Linked DNA regions of Diceros bicornis minor. The protein of the gene in region 1 interacts with the protein of each later gene in a pairwise test. Links are inferred from orthologs where the notes say so. Each region holds a gene or a part of one and is shown on either strand. Other genes may lie near its edges.

The links.
Region 2: the proteins of IQUB (region 1) and TMCC2 interact in a two-hybrid assay, tested with the Homo sapiens proteins (2 studies listed by BioGRID and IntAct). The two-hybrid records come from large-scale screens. The link is inferred for Diceros bicornis minor from reciprocal best matches to the Homo sapiens genes IQUB and TMCC2.

Annotation. Positions count from the first base shown.
Region 1 is NC_080742.1:73,359,658-73,367,848, forward strand, and holds the start of IQUB (IQ and ubiquitin-like domain-containing protein), read right to left. Parts: upstream 3,143-8,191; 5' UTR 3,051-3,142; intron 1-3,050. UniProt on the Homo sapiens protein: Adapter protein that anchors the radial spoke 1 (RS1) complex to the A microtubule of outer doublet microtubules in axonemes. The triple radial spokes (RS1, RS2 and RS3) are required to modulate beating of the sperm flagellum.
Region 2 is NC_080743.1:100,626,760-100,634,405, forward strand, and holds the start of TMCC2 (transmembrane and coiled-coil domains protein 2), read right to left. Parts: upstream 3,177-7,646; 5' UTR 2,712-3,176; coding exon 2,505-2,711; intron 1,747-2,504; exon of another isoform or gene 1,441-1,746; intron 1-1,440.

The DNA.
Region 1 (8,191 bases):
AACACAACTAGAAGAATAAAAAGACAAACCATAGACTGGGAGATAACTTTTTTGCAAAACTCATATCTGATAAAAGATTGTATCCAGAATATACAGGAAACTCTCAAAACTCAATAATAAGAAAAAAAATGAGTAAAGGATTTAAACAGACATGTCACCAAAGAATATAAACAGAAGGCAAATAAGCAGTGCCAGGACTAGGTGGAGGCAAAGGCAGCCCCCGTACTGCTCTACACTTGGACTTGCACCTGAGAAGAAATGCCTCCTGAAATTCTGGACCTGCTTGCCTCAATTGCCTCACTCTAGTCCCGGCCCTGAGAACAAGCACATGAAACGACGCTCAATATCATTAGTCATTAGAGAACGCAACTTCAAATCACAACGAGAGTCCGCTACACACCTATAAGAATAGTTAAAATATTTTTTTTAGGCCAACAATACCAAGTGCTGGTGAGCGTGAAGACAAGTGGAGCTCTTATACCCTGATAGTGGAAATGAAAATTGGTACAACATTGGGATAATTGTTTTCTTATAAAATTAAACATACATTATTTTATGTATGTTTACATAAAATGGGTCATACATTATCATATGACCCAGCAATCTGTGTCCTTTACCCAAGTGGCATGAAAAACTACATTCACAGAAAACCTGTACACAGAGGCTTATAAAGGCTTTGTTCTTAATCACTCAAGACTGGAAACAACACAAATGTTTCTTAGTTGAGGAATGGATATGTTACTGAACGCAAACACAGGTTTTTTTTACCAGCCACACAAGAGAGCCAAACAAAACCTGGAACGCCAGGCTTACGGCAAGGAAAGGGGTTTATTTTGGGTGACATCAGCAGGGAGGCCAGAGTCAGCCAGAGTCAGCCCTCAAATTCATCTCCTCGAAAGTTGGGACACAAGGGTTTTTAAAGGTTGTGAGGAATGCAGCAGCTTGTAGGGAGCAGGAGCCTGTGGCCTTGCTGGTTGGTACTCTCCCTCCAGCCTACATTTGGCCTTGTGAGGCTGCTTGCAGTGGGGAGGATGGCAAGATAAGGGAATCCAGAGGTGGGTGTCCTTGGTTGTCTGCCTCCATGATGGGTGATGGATTCTGGCACCCGGAAGCTGACCACCTGGGGTCTGGGAAGCTTCAGCTTCTTGATATACTCTGGATATCAGTTTCCCTGTAACAAACCTCAAGAACCCATAATTAGCCAAAACTTCAGTGTGAGCCCAGAGTGAGGCCACCTGGGCTTTTAACAATTTGTAACTTCTACTTACTGTGGTAGTGTGTGTGGGGTGGGGTGGGGTGGATACAAAGCTTAAAGAAACCAATATTTACATATGAATGTAACTAGAGAAGCAGGGAAGGGGATGGGTGTTTTGGGTTTTAACCCCATATATGCCGGGTTTAACGTAGGGGAACAGATATCAGGGCCAGCATCAGATACACATACTATTTTTACATTTATAAAATGGAATACTACTCACCAATAGAAAGGAATAAACTATTGATACACATAACAACATAGATGAATCTCAAATCAATTATGCTAAGTGAAGAAGCCAATTCTAAAGGCATGATTCAATTAAGTGAAAAAGCAAAGTTGTTGGTTCACAACCTTTAGAGTTCCTTGGGTGAAATCTGAAACTGCACCCTGTACATGGAGGGCAAGGAGAGTCTGAAGAAAGAGGCAAACCACTCTAGACTCGTAGGTGGCAGGTTTACTAAGCAAGGGGACTTACTATGAGGCTTGTCTTCCACAGCTGCGAGACAATAGATCTCTGCACCCACCCACCAGAATCTTGAGTTTATACAGAGGCCTTAACTGGGTTCAGCCACATATACAGTTCAGATGGTCTCAATAACACATTACTCTCTCAAGGCTCAGTCCTTGAAGCCCATCCTAGTACAGGAACAGTGGGTAGAAGGTACCCACATTCCCAGGACAAGGGAGGGGGTAAGGAGCCTCCCACTGCCCCACCCAGTTCATGGGTGAACCAGCAGTCACGTCCTCTGGATGACCTCCTCCAACAAAAGCACAGACCAGTATGTGCAATGTTACAGGTACAACTACGTATTTGTACACGCATAGAATACCTCTAGAAGGTAACTTTTTCTTTTTTTTTTTTTTTTTTTTTTGTGAGGAGATCAGCCCTGAGCTAACATCCGCCAATCCTCCTCTTTTTTTTGCTGAGGAAGACGGCCCTGGGCTAACATCGGTGCCCATCTTCCTCCACTTTATATGGGACGCCGCCACAGCATGGCCTACCAAGCAGTGCGTCGGTGCGCGCCCGGGATCCGAACCAGCAAACCCCGGGCCGCCGCAGCGGAGCGCGCGCACTTAACCGCTTGCGCCACCGGGCCGGCCCCGGTAACTTTTTCTTTTTATGTATTGTCTATCCAAACTTAAATGTTTTAATCTTAAAAAAATTGTTTAAAAAGAAAAAAGTCTCTATTATGATTGCATACAAAAAAAGTCCCCCTTTCACCTACCATGCATAATTTCATTGCTATATCTAGAATGTTCTAGATATCTAGTGTAAGTAGTAAGACGGGGATCCAGTTTTGCCTTCTACCAAATAGACCTGCTAAGTTTTTTAAGAGGCACAGCGAAGACCGTGGGTGGAGAGGAGTGAGAATGCCAGTGAAGAAGGTCGGAAAGCCCTCTGTTTACTCAAGACTGAAAATGCTCACCATGGATGGCTAAAGGTTTTCTAATGCCAGATCTGGGTTACACACACAGATGGTCTTGCTTCTGCACTATTACTGTGATAAGCATTCGGAGTGAGCGGTCCTCCAGGTACACCTCCTAGCTTGATGCTGTGGCTTCTGAATCCCAAATCAGAGAAAAGGAGACAGAAAAGGAACCAAGAAAGATGGGATGCTTTGCACGGTTTTTTTAAAGTAAAGGTGGAACACTCTCGAGCGGTCAAGCAGTCCCCAGAGCCCAGGGGATCAGCGCCCCGCACGGAGTCCTCGGAGTCTAGCGCCGCAGTCACTGGCTCAAGGCCGGTCTAAGCCTCGGGCCAGGAGAGGGCAGCCAGAACCTGTCCTCCTACCTGACTAAGAAACGCAGCTACTCGGGTCGAAGCGGTTTCTCCGGCTCTTAGGAAGCAGCGTCCCACTCGCCGGATTCTCTGTTGCCGGCCGTATCCTAGCAACGGCCCTGACGCCACCTCCTCCCAACCCGGCACAGCGGCCGCGAGAAGGGGCGGGGCCCGCGCTGAAAAGGAGCACGGCGGAGGGGAGGGGCGGAGCCGGGGGGCGAGGGCGGGGAGAAGAAAGGAGACAGAGGAGGGCGGGGCGAAGAAATGAGGCAGAGGAGGGCGGGGAGAGGTGGCGGAGAAGGTAGTACCTGCCTCTTACCTCGATTGGCAAGTGAATCGGTAGCTAACCACTTACCAAGATCCCTTTTACATTCGTAACAGGGTACGGTTCTCCAAACCAAACACTGATAGCAGTTTGCGCTTGTAGCTATAAAAAGTCAGGATTAGAGAAAATGTGAATACGAAGTAAGAGTTAAGACCTTGACAAAGGAGAACCCAGTTGTACAACAGTAGGTGCCTACTTGCTTTTGCTAAATTTAGAACTTGGCTCTTAGCTTCCTGGCAGCCAAAGAGAAAAGGCAGACAGGAGCTGTTAAATAACTCCTCTTTAAATCACGAGAAGCAAAGCTTTTGTTAATCACTGAATTATAAAGATATTTTTATATCACTATAAATTCTTTAAACTGAGAAGATTTTTAAAGACGCACATATTATTAGGGGAAAGAATCAATTATGTTCCTATTGTAAATGTAGTAGCACACTTTTTGTGGCTTCATAATAATAGCTAACATTTATTATTATTTGTTACTAAGCACTTAACTTATATTTCTAATTTAATCCTTACAGTGATCTTATTAAGGAAGAACTGTGATTAGCCCCATTTTACAAATGAGGAAACTCTCGTTTAGTGGGGTAGCCAGGATTAAACCCAAGCAGTCTGACTCCAGGCCCTCGATTTTAAACCACCATTCTATGCTACTGTGTTTAATTTAACACCCTTTGATATTTAAAAAGGATGTAAGATTAAGTAATAAAATTAAAATTTTTGTTATGTATAATACGGGTCCATTCCTCCTTCATAACGTTCAATGTCTTCACTCCTTTATACCTTTCCCCTGAAATTGCATTCTCATCTCCCCAATAACTTCCTAATGTCCAATGTCATTTTTTCAGTTTTCATTCCATTTTAAAAGACATTTCTTACTAGAACAATGTAAAATTTTTAATGTTCTCAGATAAAATTGGCTTTAATAATGGTTTTTTTAAAAAGCAAATGCATTTAAATGACTTCATGAATCCATATATTCATGGAGAACAGAGAAAAGGGGGAAAAAGGGAATACAGATAACCACTAGGGTTAGTCTTTCACGGGTGAGCCAGGTGTGATTGGAGGTTTACAGACAAGTTCTTCCAAACACTCCCCCACTCCCATCTCCAAAATCATAATGTATCTTAAATTTTACTAGTAATGAGAATTCCATTGGTTTTAAACACTTACTTTTCTGGGTTTCCTCTTTAAAATTTATCATTCACTGTCATCCGTAGTAGGGACTGTAAAAAAACTAGATTTAGGCATAGAGGCAGGAGATGGAGGGAAGAAACCCAGTGGTAGAGAACTTCAAGTACTTCCCAGCATTAAATGTGACTTGATACCCACTATATGTTCACATTTTATTTATAGTTTGCTATGGAGATGATCTTGTACAACTTAGTCTTACAATATGAGCCTAACTTAATTGGTAGGCTTCCCAGGTAGTCTATGCAGGTTGGAAAGGTTATTAACACATCCAAATCACATATGCATACGTTTACACACACAAATATATAGTTGTTTCGTTCTACAAAATCAATGTAAATGCAAGCTGAAAACAACCAATAGGAAAAAGACTCTCAGTTCTGAAAGTAAAAAAGTAATTTTAAAATATCATTTTCCATTTTACTTTTCATGATAAACTTATGCATTTTCTCAGGATTTATTGACCAAAATGACTTATCTTTATTTCTCATGAAACATCTACCTTTATTTATCTCAGCATTTATTTATATAATAAACATTTCTTTTAATGTGCTTTTATTTTTACAAAGATGCCACCTAGTGGCTTTATGAAATCAAGCATTTCAAAATATTTCCCATTGTTACCTCAGGCTAAAATGTATTTTGATATAAATGAATGAATTAGAAAAAAATTAGAAGAATAATGTAGAAAACCAAAGACTTGAAAATTATGCTTTGGAATTATCTATATGGATTAAATTTGTTTTACAATACCTCTGTGAGATCGTTAAGAGACTGGAAATACAGAACCATAGTCTCTTTTCTGAAACCTTAAGGGACAGATGTGTTTGAAATTCAGAATTTTTCAGATTTTTGAAAGGTAATATGGGCATATACTATATATTCTGTAACACCTTCAGTGGATCTGGAGAAGTTGTCCAGAATCAAACACATTAATACTTCTGTGGCAAAATATATCCATATTCACATTAAGTGGGATAAAGACCACAAGTAGCCTTATGTCAATTCAGGTCAGATTTTGCTTCCAAATGAGTTATGAAAAAACTTCCCTTTGCAAACATTTTTGGAGTTTGGAATTTAGATAGGGAATTGTGGACCTGTTTTACCCTGAGAAATAGAATCAACTCTCCTGTTATAGAGAAAAGAGAGTAAAATGAAATATTATCATAAAATAGTAATGTTTATCTTTAGAAATGCCTAAAAGGTTCACCTGAAAAAAAAAAAAGAAAGATCATGAGAAATTCCAAAAAAGAATCTCTGCAATGCTTTTCATTTACAGAGTCATATACAGAAAGAAGCTAATCCACCATAAATTACATTTAAGCACACTCCAAAAACTAGTTGCTAATATAAACCTAAAGATCACTTTGAAAATTCATTATTAGCCATGCATGGCAGCTAAATTTATGAGTTCTATAGCACATTCAAAAAAATTTTTTAACCTCGGTTTTCTGTTTCTTTTTCGTTTCTATGTGTGATTTGCCATGTTCCCTTTCCCCGGCTCCTATCTCTATGGAAGCATGTGTTGAGATGGCACCATCCGCAGCCAGGATCCCTTGTGTGACTCTTCTGAGCACTGCCAACCCTGATTAGACATGTAATATGAATAAGAAACAAACTTTTGTTAAGACTTTGGGATTTAGGGGTAGTCTATGCTAATTCACTACATTCCCTCACTAACTAGAGTTTTGGTTTATTACCTCTAAATAAAGACTTTCAAATAAATTTCTTTAGTCCCCGTCAATAACTCTAATCCCATATCACATTCCCAGTTTGATTTCTTGTAAATTCTATTTAAAATAAACTTCATCCTCCTCTAAACTAGACTTCTATCTTCTCATTTACTTTTTTCCCCAAAAGTATTACTGTTATTGTAGCATAGGCTGCAATCCCATTGAGTACTGAATTTTAAAGGAAATTCTGCTCTCAGATGCAAATTACTCATGGTATGTTCAGTGAATTGGTTCAGTGACTCTACTTTACCCTAGACCCCTGAACACACTTGCACAGGAGGTTTCTTCAACTTCTGTTTATATAACCATGGAGGCTGGGAAGAAAAAAAGGCTATTAGCCTATATGTGGGAATTTTCTTATATAGAATATTGCTGATTTTCTCCTTTTGAAAGAGAAAACGTGAGGGTAGCATCTGCCTTCTGGTGATTAAGAGGCCTGATATAGATAACTGGGGAAATGGCACACAAGCTCTGAAGTCCTCTCTGCAGTAGGAGAACACGTAAGCAAGGTCCTGCAAGACCTCAAGATCTTGGCTTCTGAGAATAGTGAAACTGATCTCTCAGACTTTATGGGAGAGTTCCTAAATAAACAGAACATAGACGATCTGGAATATCGTCTTGGCTGTCAAAGGACTTAGAAGAGCTGGCCTAGCGGGAAGGCCTGTTTGAAAAGCCTGCTGAAGCATCAGGTAAAGAGACTTAACTTCTGAAAGCAACACAGCAAGTCTTCCCATCGCAGTGGTCCCAAAGCCAGCTGCTTAAGATTCCTGATCTTCTCCATTTGACAGAAGACCGCTTTCCTTTTTATCTAGTATCCTAATCCTCATTGTTGTGTGCGCAAATAAATCTGCTTTGCATTGTAACAACAAAAAGCTCCATTAGCTTCACTTTTACTGCTCTTTAAGATTAGAAAAGGAAATAAGACAAAAGTAAGCTCCTTTTCTTCCATCCTCCAATGCTGAGGGAAAGGTGGGGGTGGAATAATGGAGAAGGAAAGGACACAATGAAACCTGAGGCCTGGTGGCACATGATGGCTGCCACTGCTGCATCATATTCTATTCAGATGACAGACTACTTCTTTTGCCTAGGACAGTCATGGTTTATACCTGTTATCCTTATGAAATTATTAATACCTTTCACTCTCAAAATCATTACAGGTTGAATGAAAAATTATAGGGTTATCCTAGATATAAGCCATTTTCATTCTAAAAGAATGCCCATAAATTTCAATATTCTGCACTCAGTCCACAGACAGGAGAAAGAGGGCATCAAATTTGGGGCCATTTTCTTGTTTGCAAAGCTCAAATTGATTAGCTTCTTTTTCTTTTGAAGTTTCTTTCAGTTTCTTTTCTTTTCTTTTGGAATACAGTGATTAAGTTGAATGAAACAAATGAAGAGCCTAGGAAGAATTGAAATGAGCCATTCTGAAAATTACTCAAATTAGTCTAGAAGCCATTCAGCAACACTGAAGATCTTTAAATAGAAGAATCATCTGCAAAGTGATCAGGGAAGCTTAATCTGGAAGTTTACAGGACACAACAGGAAAACATTTGAAGGAGTGAAAACATTTGAAGGAGTAAAAACAATCAGGTGTAAGGTTGTACGGGCAGTAGGAATGGCAGTAAACGTAAAAGAATGCTGGACCACATCGCAATGCCTTTTAGATACCTACCCCATTAACATTACCTGCCTGTGACCCATATGAGGATTTTTGCACAAAATGAAATCCTATATACTACTTCTGTTCACATTTGTTCTTTACAGGTACTTTGACAGAAAAAATCAAGAAGGCACGATCTAGGTTCTTTAGGTGCAGCCCATACAGTTCAGGCAGGAGTGACAGCATCCTAAGCATATTCAGAAAGAATATAATCAGGGGCATGAGTTCGGGGGCAAGACTGTCT
Region 2 (7,646 bases), on another chromosome or scaffold:
CCTTCTTTTCCCTGGCCCTCCCCCATAATCACAGATCCCTGAGCCCCACGGCAGAAATTTACAGTGCCGAGTAGGATGCTCCACAATGCTGAAGGAACAGGGAGAGAGACCACAGGAGCCCCTGAAACATCTGGCTGTCACCAGTTAGGGCATCATTCAGATCTCTTTGGCAAAGACTAAAATTCTCTCCTCCCCTCGCCCTCAACCTCCATGGAGGTGCTTCAGACAAACCTCTTATTTTCTCGCTCTTTTCTCAGGATGATTTCCTCCAGCGCACTTAATCCATCATAATGTCTGGAGCTGGCACAAGAAAATAGAAGTGGGACTAAGGAACCAAAAGTTCCTATCTCCAAAGTTTAAAATGAAAACAAAAGCAAGCCAGAACTGCTGGTCTCCCTAAGACAAATACAGGGGTGGGGTTACAGGGTGTTAAGGGGTAAAAATTACACTTGCCCGTTTCTGGTACCACCAACAAATCTAAAACAAGTCAGCTTCTACACAGTTTCAGAGCCAATGATGGAATTTTTCCATCACCAGAAAACAACTTTTCCAGCATTGGAAGACAAGTTTGGACACACTTCAATATTCCCCAGAAAAAGGCTCAGAAAAATTGAGTGATTTGCCTGAGATCACACAGCAAATCAAATTGCAATAGCCCCCAAGTTCACACCTGGTTCTGAAGTCCCTACTCTGTAAAAATGTGATAAAGTGGACAGAGATAAACAGGAAAAGGCCCTGTTTGTTGTTATATCTACCCCAACCAGAATGAGGGTGTCACCAAAAAGAAAAAAAAAGAGAGAGAGAGAGATGATATCAGAAGGTGGAGATGAACGAGTTTCTCAAAGCAGCTTTGTCTTCAGAGACAAAGACACCAGAGTCCCCACACCACACCACAACCAGCCTACCTTCCCTCATGAAGACAGACGGGGGAAACAAATGGAATCGACAGTTCCCAGTGCCAGCCTGAGCTGGAGAGTGGGGGGGTTTCCAAGGCTGCTTCTCACGGACTCAGAGTGAGGATCCCACCTGGTCAAGGAATCAGGGTTTGCTGGCCAGACTCATCTGGATCAGCTCAGAATGCAGCCGAAGTCTGCAGCAAAAGGCTGGTCCCCTCCCCACGTCAGCATTAAGAGCACCCCTTTCTCTTGACCATCTCATTTAAAACAGGAACCACACCTCCTGACCACACAGGGCGGGCTCAGAGGCAACAGCTGGGCACCAACGACTCCCTATGCCTGACTCAAGTGCAAGCTTCCTAAGCAGAGCTACCCCACGAAACTCATCTTTAGACCCAGGCTAGCCCCAAACCTCTGAAAGGGGCAGCAGCAGAACCAGAAGTCAGATTCAATTTTGAAAAGTACACCCAAGGAGCTAGCTATCCCCCGTCACCCTCCCCAAGGAACACAGACAGGTAACACACACAGGTAAGAGCACACTCACCTGCGCTCTGACTTCCTGACTCTGAGCTGCTCAGGCCAAACGAGGAATGTCATTGGCTTATTCGGGTTAGCTCCTTAGTGGCTGCTGCCATAGGATACAGGCTTTTTTTAACGGAGTCCTCTCGCTCCCCTAGCCCAGAACTTGCACCCTCTCCGGAGAAAATCTCCCCAAGGCATCAATCTCCAAGGCATCTAAGTTCCTTCCTTGGGCTGACATCTCGCTCAGCCCCGTGGCGAGCCGGCTTGAGAAGCCCGAGCCTGCAGTCCCTGTGGCAGCTCCAGCAAAGGTGCATTATTTATGTTGGTGCTGTTTTAATTAATAGAGAGATACAGTCAATACAGCTCAACGATAGTCTCAGCAACCTCAGGCCGGAAAATAAAGGACTCCCAGCCGCACATGATTGGCTCTTTCAGATTCTGGTTCTAACTGCTGCCTCAGCCTGTGTGCAACTTGACCGAGGCCCCAAACCAGGCCAAGCACGGCTTGGCCACCTGTCAGTTCTCCACCCTGGGGGGTTGGTTGAGCAGGCAGGCCTCGATCTCCAAGCACTAGCTTAACCTCTGGCTCCACCTAACGGCAAGAAATCCACAGTCCCCTTTCACAGATGGACAAACTGAGCTTCATCCAGGAAGGTCTCAAAAGGAGGCAACTATTCGGCAAAGGAAACTAATGGTCCTCTGCTTGGCCTCGCAGGCAGCACTTTTCTTACCCTGCCATCTTACAGGAGGGAAAGTGATGTCAACTTTTCAGTTAGCATCTTGGGTTTCTCCAGCCCTTTGTCTGCGAATAGCACTTCACACACATTATTCAAACAATGTCGAATGGGTGAGTCACTAGAACGTCTGCTGAATAATGAAGAACAAACACAGAGGCCTGAAATGGAGCTGAAAGACAGAGGCACAAATGGTACCTGACGTCCAGCCCAGGCTTCTTGCCCAACATCCGTCATCCTCTCTGACCTTTGCCTGGCTTCCCCATCACTTTTATCCTGTTAAAGCACTTCTGCGTGGGGCGGGGAAAGCTAAGTCGCCGACTGGGCTTGGCAGGGGAAGGTCTGCGCTCACCTTTAAATCAGGAGGCTTGCTTCGAGGACCTGGGTTGGGCGCCGCGGCAGCGCCCACATCTGAAGTTGGCCCGCCAGCGGAGTTAGCACCCGCGGCCTCCCCAGGCCGGAGGTCTGCGCCCGGCAGGTGGCAAGCGACATCTTCCAGCCCAGCTCCATCCTCCTCGCCCTGCTGTTGCTGCAGCTCGTCCGATTTGCACCTCTTCATGGTGTATGTGGGTCGGCAAGGGGAATCTGTCCTTCCAGCGCGCCGTCTTGAGCTAGACCGCACCCCCTCTTACACTCAGAAACGAGGCCCGGGATCTAAATTATGATCGAGGAGTCGGCGGATCACAATTTCTTGAATTAAAAAATAAATATTTTTAAAGGAGGGTGAGGGAGGGGCGAGGAGGGGGAGCCTTGGTTACAGCTTAGAAGAGTTCGTTACCACCTGGGGAGCCGAGGCAGGTCACAGTAGAGACTGGGCAGCAGGAGTCCTTGGGCAGTCATTGGAGCGCGAGGAGGAAAACAGCCCCCGGCCCCCAAACTTTCTGCTCCAGGGCATGCGCAGGGCGAAGGGGAGCTGGGCGGCAGAGAGCATCCATCCCGGCTGGCCGGGCTGCTGAGAGAGGCAGGGCATGGGGCAGCCGGCTGGGCAGGTCCTTTTCGGCCGCCCTCGGCGCCGGCTGCGGCCCCCGGCCCTGCCGCTGGCCTCCGCCCCTCATGGGCTGGCCGCGGAGCCCGCAGCGCGCCCCGCGCCCTCCCCCCCGCGCGCGCCCTCCCCCCCGCGCGCGCCCTGCTCCCCTACCGCCGCGCCGCCTGCTGCAAAGCCGCGGCCGCGGCCCGAGCCAGCGGCGAGCGCGCAACCTACCCCGCCCGGTGCCTCCGCCCGCCAGGGGGAAGGCGAGGCAAGGAGAGAGTGACAACTGCAACGGGCCAATGGGAAGCCCAGAGGGCTGAGGGGGCGTCGCGCGGCCACGTTTTTAGGGTTGGTTGCACTGTGCAATACCCCAGGAGAGGTCTGGAGGGCTTTGATGTTGCTGGTGCGTTTTGCCGTTGCAGAGAGCGGACTGCGGAGTAGAAGTGGGGGCGGCGGGCCACCGGAGATGCGGCCCTAGCACATGCGTGAGGGATCCTCCCAGGAGAGACTCCCTCGGGATTTCCCCCACCCACCCGTTGTATTTGGCTGGGAGAGGGCGCAGTACGGGATGCTCGTCATCACTGCTTTTTTGCCCTAACTTCACGTTATGTTTCATATCCCTTCAATGAGGAAGACACTGATCCCCTCTAGCATACCTGGTCTGAAACACAAACCTAAGCCTACATTCAGAGCCAAAGGAAACGGGGTGTTCTGCCTCATCGCCCCTTCCCTCGCTTTAAGTAATTATCTCACGTTGAGTGTTAGCTTTATGCTCAGAAATGATAACGTATTTCATATTGGAACACAGTAATGTGTGTGCGAGTTCCTTGCAAACTGTGAAGCAGCTTTTAAATAAGAAGGGGTATTAATGGCAGGAGGTTGAAACACATGGAAGAGAAGGAAAGGAATGCAATCTCTTTTTCCCATAAATCTCAGCCAAACTGAGCGGAGTAATCTGGAGGCAGAAGAGAGCAAATATTGGGGGTTACCAAGATATGGAGCCTAGTAATAATAACCCCATTTGAGTGCCTGCTGTGTGCTTACTGTGGATACGATGGTTTTGCCCATCCCGCAGCCTGGACCAGTGATTCTCAAAATATAGTCCTGGGACCAGCAGCTTCAGCGTCACCTGGAAACGTGACAGAAATGCAAATTATTGGACACCAGCCAGACCTACTGAATCAGAAACAGTGGGGCCAGAAATCTGTTTTAATAGGCCTTCCAGGTAATTCTGATGCAAGCTAATATTTGAGAACCATTGCCCTAGACTGTAGTGAAGGGGCCACTCAGTCTGTGAGTCACAGTGATGATCTCTAAAGGATTTTACAGTTTACCAATCTCTTTTACACTCATCATGCCATTGTAGCTTCAGTTCAGTCCTACTAGTCTGAGTTTCCTGACTCTGTTCTGTCTTCTTCCCATCCCAACCACTCATTTTAATGTGTATCCTAGAAGAGTCTAAGTTGTTAGGAATTTATTTCAGTCAAGCAGTTTTCTAAACTAGGCAGCTCCATTTTTAGAAGATAGGAATTTACGATGGGCTGGGAATGTAAAACCACCTCTTACATCCACTACACAGTATCAGGCACAATGTGGAAACACAAAGCTACAAGCCTTTAGCATTTTCAATGGGGAGGGAAAGGCAGAATGCCAGTGAAAACCGTGGCAGGACTAGACAGAACCAGTAGGGGCACATTCCATGGCACAAGATGTCAGGCAGAGGATCTACTGATCCCTGCCTGACTTGCCCCAGAGAAGTGCATGGGCCTGACAGACCCTGGGCAAGTCTTGGGCGGAAAGCAGTGGCCAGCAAGTGGTGAGCACATGTAGATACGTGTTCATCACCTGACTCTAAGCTGAAGAAAAGCGGAGGGAGATGGTGTGAAGCTTTAAGGAAGCAGAGACCATTATCATTTTGAATTATGCCTCATTTCTATACTAGGTTGAAGTTGGTCTTAAGTTTTTTATATTATCATATACACATAACATGATGGCCAAATTTCCCACTTATGGCCATATTTAGCAGGGTGTAATGCAGGTCAACAAAAAAGTCTCTGATGTGTTTCATGAAATCAGCTAATACCTTACATTCTGTTTTGGAGAGGCAGTGTAGCATAGTGGTTAGGAGCTCAGACTCTGTGGCCAGACTGCTTGGGGACAGATCCTGGCTCTGCTCTCCACTGACCATGGGACTGGGGGCAAATTATCTAACCTCTTTATGCCCCAGGTCCTCATTTGAAAGTGGGGATACTGACAATACCTACCTTAGGGAGTTTGGGGTAATTTTTGTAAGCACTTGGACCTTGCCTGGCATAGAGTGGGGGCCATAGCTATCATCAGAGAGGTCACCCAGTTTCAAAAGGGTTGCACACTCCACTCCCATGGTTGTATCCTTGGGAGTTCAAATGTGTCTCAGCCATTTCTGACTTTCTCTGAGTGTCATATTGTAGAACAAATACGCTACTGCCAAAGAAGTTTGGGTGGAAAGTCTGTGTAGAGACCTGTGTGACCTACAACTGCCAGTTTGAAGCTGATGGAAAATTTTCATTAGCCATAGTAACTTCTTGAGTGCCTAAGATAAATAGAACTTGGAAGTATTTTGACTGATTGAAATTTTGTTTAAAGGACTGGCTCATTCTGTTGTTCTAGGCTTCTTTGGGAAAATATAGGCATACATGTTTTGATGTTCAAGATAAGAAAAATTTGCAGATTTACAAGGCAAGAGATTATATTTTGGATGTAGGAGTAGCATTTTCCATTCTGCTTTGGCACAACTAGTTAATTACATGTAAATAACATGGTCTAGAGGGAAGAACAGTGGTGTTTGTGTTAGAAAATCCACGTAAGAATCTGGTTCTGTCACTCCCTGTGTGTTCTTGGGCAACCATATCACTTACCTTCTCTCACCCTTGGTTTTTCTCATCTATGAATAGGGGCTAATAATATCTATCCTCACATGGGGTTATTGTAGGGATTAATCTAGATAACGCATGTGAAAACACTTAACACATAGTGTGTGCTCAGTAAACCTGAATAAAACAAAAGTAATTCACAAAGTTGGCCAAGCCCCCTGTCTACCACATGAGAAAGGCAGAACTATCCCTCTAAGCTTAATGTTCTTTGTGAAAGGAAATCCCAGTTAGGCTAATGAACGGGGGTGCTCCTGGTAGATTCAAATTTGCTACACCAGTAAGTGTATAAACAAGGAGATTAAAGAACAGGGTTATGGAATCCTGTTTCCTTGTCAACAGCCAGTTCATTTAGCTTTATAAACTGATGAAGCTTTAATTATAAAGGATAATGTGCCAAGAGCAACAGGTAAGCATAGAGTAGGGTTTTTTTTCTTTTTGTAAAAGTAATTAAGTCTGAGAAATGAAAGGCTTTTTTGCCAATAGCACAAGGCTTGTAGATTATCCAAGAAAATTCTGCTTCCTATTCAGTAGGAATTCTTTAAAAAAACATTTTAAACATCAAATGGGTAGGTAGTTGTCAGAGAGTTATTTTAAGATTTAATATACTAAGTAGAGCGCTTTACTTAGAAGGTAAAGTACTCTCTAGAGAGATTGGATATAATAATTTTTATCGCTGTATTTTGATACCAACGTCATTACAAACATTCCTTTGTTAATGTAATTTTCTTCTCTTTCTTTTGGAGATTTCCACTTCCACTCAGGGCTCTCCTTAAAGGAAATTGGGCTCCGTTGGATTAGGCATAAACTATGCAAATAATCATCAGGGAGATTGGCTGGATTGTTGATGACATCACAATCCCACCACCTAAGTACAGGCTTCTCATTGGCTGTTGTAAGAAGCAGGCAGGATCAGCAAGGCTCTGCATCACTCTGAGTTGGAGAAAGCTCTGAGTCTAAACTAAATTTTGTCCTGTTTTTTATTTAAAATGTACTCAGAAGCATTTTCCATATGTTATTGCATTTTTCTATGTTGTTTCATATACTATCACTTAGACATATGTCTATATTACTATATGTCTAACTAAACATTTTAAATGACTGCTTACCATTTATATATCATGGTTTATTTAACCACTATCCACCTTATTCTTACTTAGTTGTTTTAATTCTTGCCTTCAGAAATAAAATTGTAATTACTATATTTACTCAGAAATTGTATATATTATTTCCTGCATAGCATAGAATCTCTGATACCTAACTGGCAATGTTTTAAAGGAATAAACAAACCAAACAGATTGCCACTCTTGTGACCATTTCTCTCACAGCATCCCTAAGACCTGCATGGGAGATTCCAGTGCCTGTTTCATTTCTGGGACTGGTGAAGCTCCTATCTATAGCACAAAAAGCTGGAAGTTCCTCCTTCTCATTTTAGGTAGGATGCATATTCTTCATTCTGGGTGCCTGTTGCTCCTCAGTAATGGAGAAAAGTGGCAATAACCACGGCCATGAACAGAGAAGGCTTGTGAAGCATAAACTTAAACCCTGATTGTACGGCTCTGTGAGAAAGCCTGAGACTGGTAAAATGGCTGCTTTGTGTCCCTTCCCATCTCTA